Neurospora crassa OR74A: one gene and its partner. The protein of the gene in region 2 interacts with the protein of the main gene of each other region in a biochemical or structural test. Links are inferred from orthologs where the notes say so. Each region holds a gene or a part of one and is shown on either strand. Other genes may lie near its edges.

Region 1 (4,195 bases), on a different chromosome or scaffold from region 2:
TGAATTGCAACTCTGGAACCGGATTGGCGGGGTAGGTACCTTCCAGGCTCCAAAGTGCGGAGTTAGGTAAACACTCGCTGTGGAATGTCCAACAGCGAATGGTGGAGAGGGGTCTTTTTCCCCTGGAAGCTTTTCCATGTGACCATGAGCGTCATTGCCCCACTAGTGTACTCATCGATCCTACGATAGCATCCACAACACCCTCTTCAACTCATTTTCAACCTGACAGCCTCACTTTACGCTTATTTATCGTGGACTCAGCTGCTCAAACCAGTAATTACATGATCCAGATGGGCCCATGTGAAGATGCAATTCATTCGTACCTTTTGAGATGTTCCAACCACAGCAACTCCGAAGCAACATATTGCTTGTGCCTGCATATTTGGCAGGACATGTATATCAAGGTACCAGTGGAATAAGACTGGAAATGGCATAAACTAGGATTTCCGATGCCTCTTCACGCTGATGAAATCGAAAAGATATCTATACGGTCAAACTATTCTACTCCTTTCACATTTCCCGACAGCCTCTAGCGGCAACAAGCAGAGCCACCATGTTGTTGCTTAGACAAGCGCTGAGTGCAAAGGCGCGTGGATTGTGATGCTTAAATTCCCCTGAAAAGCACAGTCAACATGATACCTTTCATTGTAATATACCATAGCACCTGGGAAAATTACACAGTCAAGATATGCGCCATCAGGCAGCTTGTTGTTACTCCACTGAATGCCATTAAGAGATTATGCTGTCTTAGAAAGATGAAACGTAACCGATGAACCCAAATCATTCCTGTCCTGGCAAACTGCCCATGGTCTTCGCCTCGAGGAACCCAGCAAAATATCACAGCCCGCTCTCTCTACCTCTTCAACCCATCTCCCTGTACCGACCCTCAACAGCTTACCTCCCAACCTTCTCCTCCTCAATCTCCCTCTTCAACTGCTCCAACACGTCCTGCCTGCTCCTCAAATGCGCCTCCAGCCCTTCCACCTGCTCCTTAACCGTCGCCAAATCATCCGCCACGCTCTTCAGGCTCCCACCAGCCGCCGCCTTCCCCTTACCCTCCTCCAAGTCCCTCAATTCCTTGCGCTTATAATCCAACAGCTGTTCCAGCTCCCTCTTGACCAGTGCCGGCTTTGTATCCCTTTTCCCGCCCCTACGACGGTTCGCCGCCTCCTCAACCTTGGCCATCTTCTCGTCCAGCTCCGCCAGCTGCTTCTTCAGCCTGACTTCCTCCCACTGATCGTCCGTCTGCTCGGACGAGAAGTCGGTGCCGGCCGTCTTGAACGAGGAACGGCCTAGGCGCGTCAGGTACTGATCGCCGAACTTGGCCTTGCGGCCGGTAGAGGTCTCATCGTCGGCCTTTTGGGCCCAGCGCGACTGCGACGGGTCGTTGACGTTGTATGTGATCTTGTTGCGCTCGAACGAGGCCCGCAGAGAAGCGGGAACGGTGCGCGGGATGCGGAAACCTTCGTGGCGGTAGTTGAGGATGTGCAGGAAGGCGAGGCAGGCATCTTTGTTGATGGTCGAGGAGGCCGACGGGTTGACCAGGTTCCAGGCCGAGCGGATGTCGGTGTCGGGAACGGAGAGGGAGTCGTAGAGGTCTTGGAGGGCGGCGACTGCGGGTAGGTAGGTAGATTAGTATGAGGTTAGGGACCGGAAGGGAAGGGAAAGGAAGGGATGTAAACATACAGGAAACCTCGCCGCGCATATCTCGGTTCTCTTGATAGATTTGCTCGTACTTGGACTTATCCGCCGGGCTCATGTACCAGTCAAACCCATCCTTCAAGCCGGGGGTATCGTCTTCATCTTCGACTTGCTCGAATTTCGGCGCCTTGCCGGTTAGCGCGCGGTTCGCTTGCACAAGGTGGGCTTTAGATTCGGGGACAAGCCAGTCTGGGAGAGTTGTCGGGACATCAGCGTATTCCTGTTACCGTCTCCCCCTGTTAGTTCTCTGATACTGCTGCTATTACTGCTCCCATGCTTGCTTGCTTGCTCGCTCGCTCGCTCGCAGCTTCAGGACAGAAGGAGGTAGACGAACCCCGTTCAAAAGGTCAAAGATGACCCTCATCGCAACACAAAATTCCTCGAAATCAAGGTTTCCGTCATTGTCCACATCGGCCAGATCCCAAACACGCTCCAGCTGGTCATCGCGCAGGCCACTGTTCTTCAGCACCGGCGCCGCCTGCTCGCCCGTCAGGAACTTGCCGCCATTTGTTCGCGCCGAGAAGATGTTCCAGTACGTCTCGATTTCCTGCGCTTCGATTTTTGGCGGCATTGTCGCGGTTGGCTTCGTAGTAATTATATGCGTGTAAGTGGGTTGGAAATTTGGCTAGCAGCTACCTCTCAAGCTGAAGGGCCGTGAATCGCAGCGGCAACCTAAGTCCGGGGGCAACGGCTTCCGGTTCCTGTCCGGTGGTAATGCGGTCGTCGACGGGAGCGCTGATTGATTGACCGACTTGGAAATGATGAGAGCAATTGACGATTCGATTAAGCGAGACGGTCACGGAAATAAGTGGAGATTGATACTCGGGTCAATGTTAGATAATGGAAATGAAGTTCGATTGGGTTTGAGGTTATCTCGAGGAAGTCAGGTTGGGTCGGTTGTTGCCAGTGTACAGCCCCGTAGCGCGGTGTGATTACAGTGGGAAGTTGTCAGGCGGATCCCAGGGCAGCTGCAACGTCCAAGCTCCGTCTCTTGTTGTCGGTGGATGATGCCTCGCAGTATGACCGGGACCGGGGGGATGGCCCGATGTGCGCACATGGCTGTTGTGCCTTGCCGTAGCTTCGAGGTACATGGGTCTCCACTTTCTCTCTGCCCCTGAGCCCCTTTTTCATCCAAACAATGGCATCTCGTTGAACTTGTGTCAACTGCATGATGTGATGTTCGTCGTCTTCACGTCCATGCTATAAACTCGAAACCACGCACTCGAGGATTCAAACTGTTTGTGTTTCTTCCCAGTGAGCGACCAGCGTGGTCCAGGTTATAGAGGTTACAGATAAAGCGCACATGCTCACTAGGTAAACCACAGCAACCAGCTCAGCTACCAGTTGGTGCCGATTCCTTCCAGCATTGAAAGGAATAGCAATACTCCAGGCCATGGCATCAAACATGTCTAACTTTATGAGTCATAAAGTCGCAGAAAACCTTTATTCACATCAACGGTCCGATGGTGTAGTTGGTTATCACGTCAGTCTAACACACTGAAGGTCCCCAGATCGAGCCTGGGTCGGATCAAATGCGAATTCTTTTTTTTCCTTCTTTATCAACCTTTCTGCAACGTACCTTGCCACATCTTCACACATCAAGGAACGAAATCACCTTCAGTTTTCTTCTTGATCGGCCATAGGACCGTGATGCAGCTGTCACTCACATTGCTGACGGGCGAACGACCCTTTCCCGGATATCGCACCCCAATCCAACCCTTCTAACGATAGCCTTAACTCATCTAGTCGACATCTTTCCAAATCCAATATGCCTGCTTATTACTTGACCCAATGCCTGATAACCTAAGCCCGTACCCAAAACCGCGTCATGTTCACCAACCATTAGTGCTTATATTCCATCCTGTCATCCCCAACAACCCCCCAAAACTCCTCCACAATCTCCTTCTGTCCGCTCTCCGCTCCCCTGACGGCCAAATACAACCTTGAATCCAACTCCGGGTTCCAATCCCCCGGGTTTGCACTAACCATAATTCCACCCGCCTCCTCGAGAATACACCACCCCGCCGTCACATCCCACGCATAACACCCGCCCTCCCAGTACATATCGACCTGACCAGCCGCCACTGCGCAGATGTTCAAGGCCGCGCTGCCCAAGCTGCGCAAGCTGTGCACCATACACCCGCCATTCTCCTTGGCAGCCGTCAACTGTCTAAACACCCTGGTCTTGATATCAAAGTTCTTTCCCTCGCGCTGACTACCCCACTCGACCGCCACCAGGGCCGTGGAAAGGTCTCCTAGCGGCTGGCCCCCATTCAGCGGCAACTTTTGCTTTGGCCCCTGTCCCTTTCCTGGTTCGAGAGAGGCGTTGCGCTGACAGTAGGCGCCCTGTCCCTTGGTGGCCGTCCAAAGCGTATCGAGAGCGGGGTTGTAGACAACGCCCACCGCGGGGCGGCGGTCGAGGGCGAAGCCGAGCGAGATGCAGAAGCCGTGCGGGTAGCCGTGGACGAAGTTGGTGGTGCCGTCAATGGGGTCG
Region 2 (4,267 bases):
AGGTTCCTGGGTGGCCTTACGGCCGCCCTGACGGTCCTGAGACCGAATCCGAGCGGCCCGGCTTTCCCGCTGAAGATCGAAGATGAAGTCTCTGACCTCGTCCTCCACGCCAAGGGCATCCTCCCAGCGACGCTTCTCGTGTTCAGAGGTGGAATCCGGAGCACCCTCCTTGAGACTATCCTCAATACCCTTGGCGAATTCGCGGACGCTATCTTCAACGTCTCTGACCATGCGCTCGTTGTTCTCTTTTTCGGTCTTAATCTTGATGTTCTCCTCTTCCAAGCGCTTGGGGCCATCGGCATCATCATCACCGATATCGATCTTCTTGCCCATCAAGGCAGCTGTCCGCTGCTGCATCATAGCCTTCGCACGGGCCTTGATTCTGTCGGACTCGGTGACCATACCACCCGGGCCAGTACCGACAATGGCGGCGGCGCTGTTAGGATGAGCCTTGGCATCCTTGAGACGGAAGAGCTCAAGTCTGGCGTCAGCAATGGCCTTCTCAGTCTTCCGAACCTGGGACGCAAGCTCTGGGATTCTGTCAGTAAGCTGCTGCAGCTGGCGCTTAAGTGCGCGTCTCTCGGCATCAGAGTCGGCGCTCATCAGCTGGGCATCTGGATGATTGTCAATGTCCTCCTGGATTCTCCGGATACGGCGGTATAGTTCATCGGCCTCGCGGCGGTCGCGTCTGTCAAGAATGTCGTCTTCCTCCATGTTCTTCTCATCGTTGAAATCCATGGCATCAAGAAGTACCTGCTTCTCCTTGATCTTCTTGCGAAGCTGCTCAATAGTCAGGTCATCACCGGAGTTACTAGCCGCCGGAGATTCAGGACGAGGAGACGTGCCCACGCGACGGCGCGCGCTGGAGCGATACCCCACCTCCTCATCGTTGTTCTTGAACACGGTAGCATCCTTGCGGTTAGCCCCAGTGTTCTTGAAAGAGTGGCCTTTAAGATAGCTGACGCCGGTCTTCTGGGGCAGCAACGAGGCCCCAGTGTTTTTGCGGAGCTCGGATTCCTGATGAAGCATGTTTTTGACCATACCAATAGACGCACTGAGGTTTCTCGCAGAAGGGGGAACAAGCTCAGGAGGAAGCTGGTTAGGAATAGGGTAGCCGTTAAGCTTGCGGTAAATCAGATGCATAGCCACCGCAAATTCATCCAAATCCAGGCGGCCCTTGTTTCCATTGTCGGCGAGGGTCCAGATGCGCTCAAGATCAGGCTTGTCCAAGCCACTCTGACCAAAGATCTCGATAGCAGCATCGCCAGCGATGAAACCCTTGTTCAGACCATCCCAAGCCCGGAACAGGGCATCGTACCTCGTCTTCTCGTCCTTGGTGATGGCCCAGGGGATAACGGCATTACCTTGAAGTCCGGCCGTAGTATAATTCCGCTGTTCACGTCCCAGTTGAGGCATCATGCGAGCCTGGAGCGCATCAATGAGAGGCAATCCGGTGGCAGGCGTATTAACAAGTCCCCATTGTCCAGGCATTCCCGTGGGCTGAGAGTTGAGAGGAGCAACCATGCCGCCAGGGCCAGCGTTAGGCGACAGATTTGAGCCAAATCCGGTCGGCATGGGAGGCATGGGAGGCATAGGACCGGCGTAGCCAGTTGGCTGGGGGTTCATTCCCGGGAATCCAGTCTGCTGGGGTTGAAGGCCCTGGTTCTGACCCATGAAACCAGTTTGCTGAGCAGGAAAGCCAGTCATCTGCGCCTGGAGAATCGCCGAGTTTGACGGCTGCGGCTGGGGCTGTTGAATGGTCGGAACGGCCGCCGTATTCTGCTGCGTAGCAAAGCTGGGGGCGTTAGATGCCGGGGCAGAGCTAGAGCCCGCATCGTCGGTGATACTAAAGTTGATGATGTCCACCATGCTCGAAACCTCGTTCTTGATGTGATCAGGTAGGACGCTAGGAAGTGCCTTGCCAGTGATCTTGAGGTTGCAAAGGTACATGGCCAGGGCAAACTCGGGGAAGTGTAGCTGCCCAGACCTTGTGGTATCCGCCAATGTCCAGATTTGTGATAGCGAGTCCCCATCCAGCTTCGACCGCAGAAGGAGATCTCTCGCCTTTTCACCCGACATGGTAGTCTGTCCTTCTCCCACAGCCGACTTGAAAAGCGTCTCGAACCTGGCCTGGTCATGCGCCGTGATGAAAGAAAGGCGGATGTTGGGGATCTTGACGGTGTTGGTCTTCTGCTCGGCCCTCCGTCCCTTGCCCCCAGCCGTCTGGAAAGAGGCGGCCATCTCAGAAAAGCCCGTAGCCTGGGGCTTCACGGGCGGAGGAGGGGCGATGCCACCCTGGGCGGTCGGGGCAGGCTGTTGAGCCGGCGCTTGGATCTGTACGGATGGGAACCCAGTCGGCTGGGGTTGCTGAATCGATGGCTGCTGCTGCTGCTGCTGCTGCTGCTGGAACGACTGCTGTTGCTGGAACTGCTGGGGAATCGCTGGGACAGGAGGCATGCCGGTCTGGAACGGCTGCTGCTGGGGCGCTTGGGGCTGGAAGCCAGTAGCCTGAGGCTGGAAGCCAGTAACCTGGGGTTGGAAGCCAGTAGCCTGGGGTTGGAAACCGGTGAACTGTTGCTGAAGCTGAGGCTGTTGCTGGGGGGCCTGCAACCCCGGGTATCCCGTGAACTGCTGCTGGAGCGGCTGCTGTTGTTGCTGACCATAGCCGGTCTGTTGTTGACCAAAGCCGGTAGGTTGGGGAGCGAACCCAGTCGGCTGCGGCGCAAACCCGGTCGGCTGAGGCTGCATCGGGCCCTGTTGGCCAAACGGACTCGGGGCGCCGTATTGTTGCTGTTGCTGCTGCGGCTGCTGGCCGGGGCGAAGGCTGTTGGCGCCCCCGAGGAAGGCATTCGAGTTCGAGTACATGACGGGCGGTTCCTCCTCGTGTATATTACTAAATGCAATTCGATGGCCCTCGTGTCGGGTCTAGAAGTATCGGACGAGGAAGAGAGGGGCTTGGGGCTGCGGAAATGGAGGCAGCAACACCTGATACACGACGAGGGGAAAAGGGGGTTCAAGGAGCGGAGAGGCAACTGGCGAAAGAGAGGCAGCAAGCTCCTCTTGGTCGGCAGTCACGGAATGGGGGAGACTAGTAGTTGAATTAGAGTAGTGATTATGGTGTAGATAGACAAGATGCAAATGGCAAGTATGGGCTGCGATGCGCCGTGGAAGCGCTCGTGTGATGACGACGACGACGACGACAGCACTGGCGGCGGTCGGGTGTTGTTGTTGTTGCGTGTGTCAGGGTCAGGGTCAGTGTCAAGTGTCCAGGCAGCGTCGGGCAGGCAATCAGTGCGGTGAATCGATGTCACTCATAGTAAACACCAAGGACTGGACCACCACGCCCCGTTCCTTGGTTGGAGCCACTGCAGTTGGAAGCGGGAACTAATAACATGGAAAATGAGCAAATGGAGCTGGAATACCATATGGTCCAATGGATGCTCTCCATTGCTTCTCTTTTGCTCCACCTTTTCCATGCTCACGGCAGGCAAAGAAGCAACAGCGAAGCTTCCAAGTACATGTCAGTGTTGGTAGACTTCAGGAACGGGCGGACTGGGCTCACTAGTAGGGTGCTTGGACCACCCTAGCTACATACGCAGTATGTATAATCCGTGCTCGGCCTCCTCTCTGCCACGTGACAGCTTTCTCCAGCTCCCCCTGAGCACAGGCCACATAAAGGAATGAAGCTTCAAACGAACTGAAAGAAGCTTGGGCCAACTTGACATCTTCAACGTCGACGCCTCCAGGCCGAATCTCCCCTAGCTGCCAAGACCCGAATCCATCGGCCGAGAGCAACGTCGGGGGCTGGCCTGTGCGGCCGAATGGAGCTCCCCAGACTATCGGCTGCTCGGTCACAAAATTTTCCAGACAAGCATTGAGGTCCCCGCGCGTTCCCTCCCGCCGCCGCTCCGTTCAACGGGCAAAAATAGCATGGTCGTCCTGGCTTTCTGCACGGAGTCGGGCTCCTCACCACACCTCATCGCCATGGATTCCGACCTGGAGCTGCAGAGGATGACTCCTTTTATTCCCAGCTCCAGCCAGCCCGGTGGAGACAAGGCCGGTCACATCATCGCTTCGATGGATAGCGTTTGCGTGTCATTTTGATGGCCGCACCAGCTACCAGGACATCGTGTACATGGTGTAAAAGTCCAGAGTCGCCGATCACAGTTTTCATTGGGCCTGTGGTCCCTGAGTGGTGCTGATGCGGGCAAAAACCGGAGCACTACAGCTGGCGTGATGGCGTCCAGTGAGTTTGTTCCTTTTTAAC

Evidence for each region.
Region 1: the proteins of NCU06171 (region 2) and NCU06347 form a complex in vitro, tested with the Saccharomyces cerevisiae proteins (2 studies listed by BioGRID). The link is inferred for Neurospora crassa OR74A from reciprocal best matches to the Saccharomyces cerevisiae genes PAN1 and END3.

Annotation. Positions count from the first base shown.
Region 1 is NC_026504.1:2,823,252-2,827,446, reverse strand, and holds NCU06347 (actin cytoskeleton-regulatory complex protein end-3), read right to left. Parts: upstream 2,684-4,195; 5' UTR 2,273-2,683; coding exon 2,036-2,272; intron 1,922-2,035; coding exon 1,687-1,921; intron 1,614-1,686; coding exon 895-1,613; 3' UTR 682-894; downstream 1-681. Other genes in the region: NCU06348 (myo-inositol-1-monophosphatase), read right to left, coding at 3,544-4,195. UniProt on the Saccharomyces cerevisiae protein: Component of the PAN1 actin cytoskeleton-regulatory complex required for the internalization of endosomes during actin-coupled endocytosis. The complex links the site of endocytosis to the cell membrane-associated actin cytoskeleton.
Region 2 is NC_026503.1:1,749,835-1,754,101, reverse strand, and holds the start of NCU06171 (actin cytoskeleton-regulatory complex protein pan-1), read right to left. Parts: upstream 3,067-4,267; 5' UTR 2,866-3,066; coding exon 1-2,865.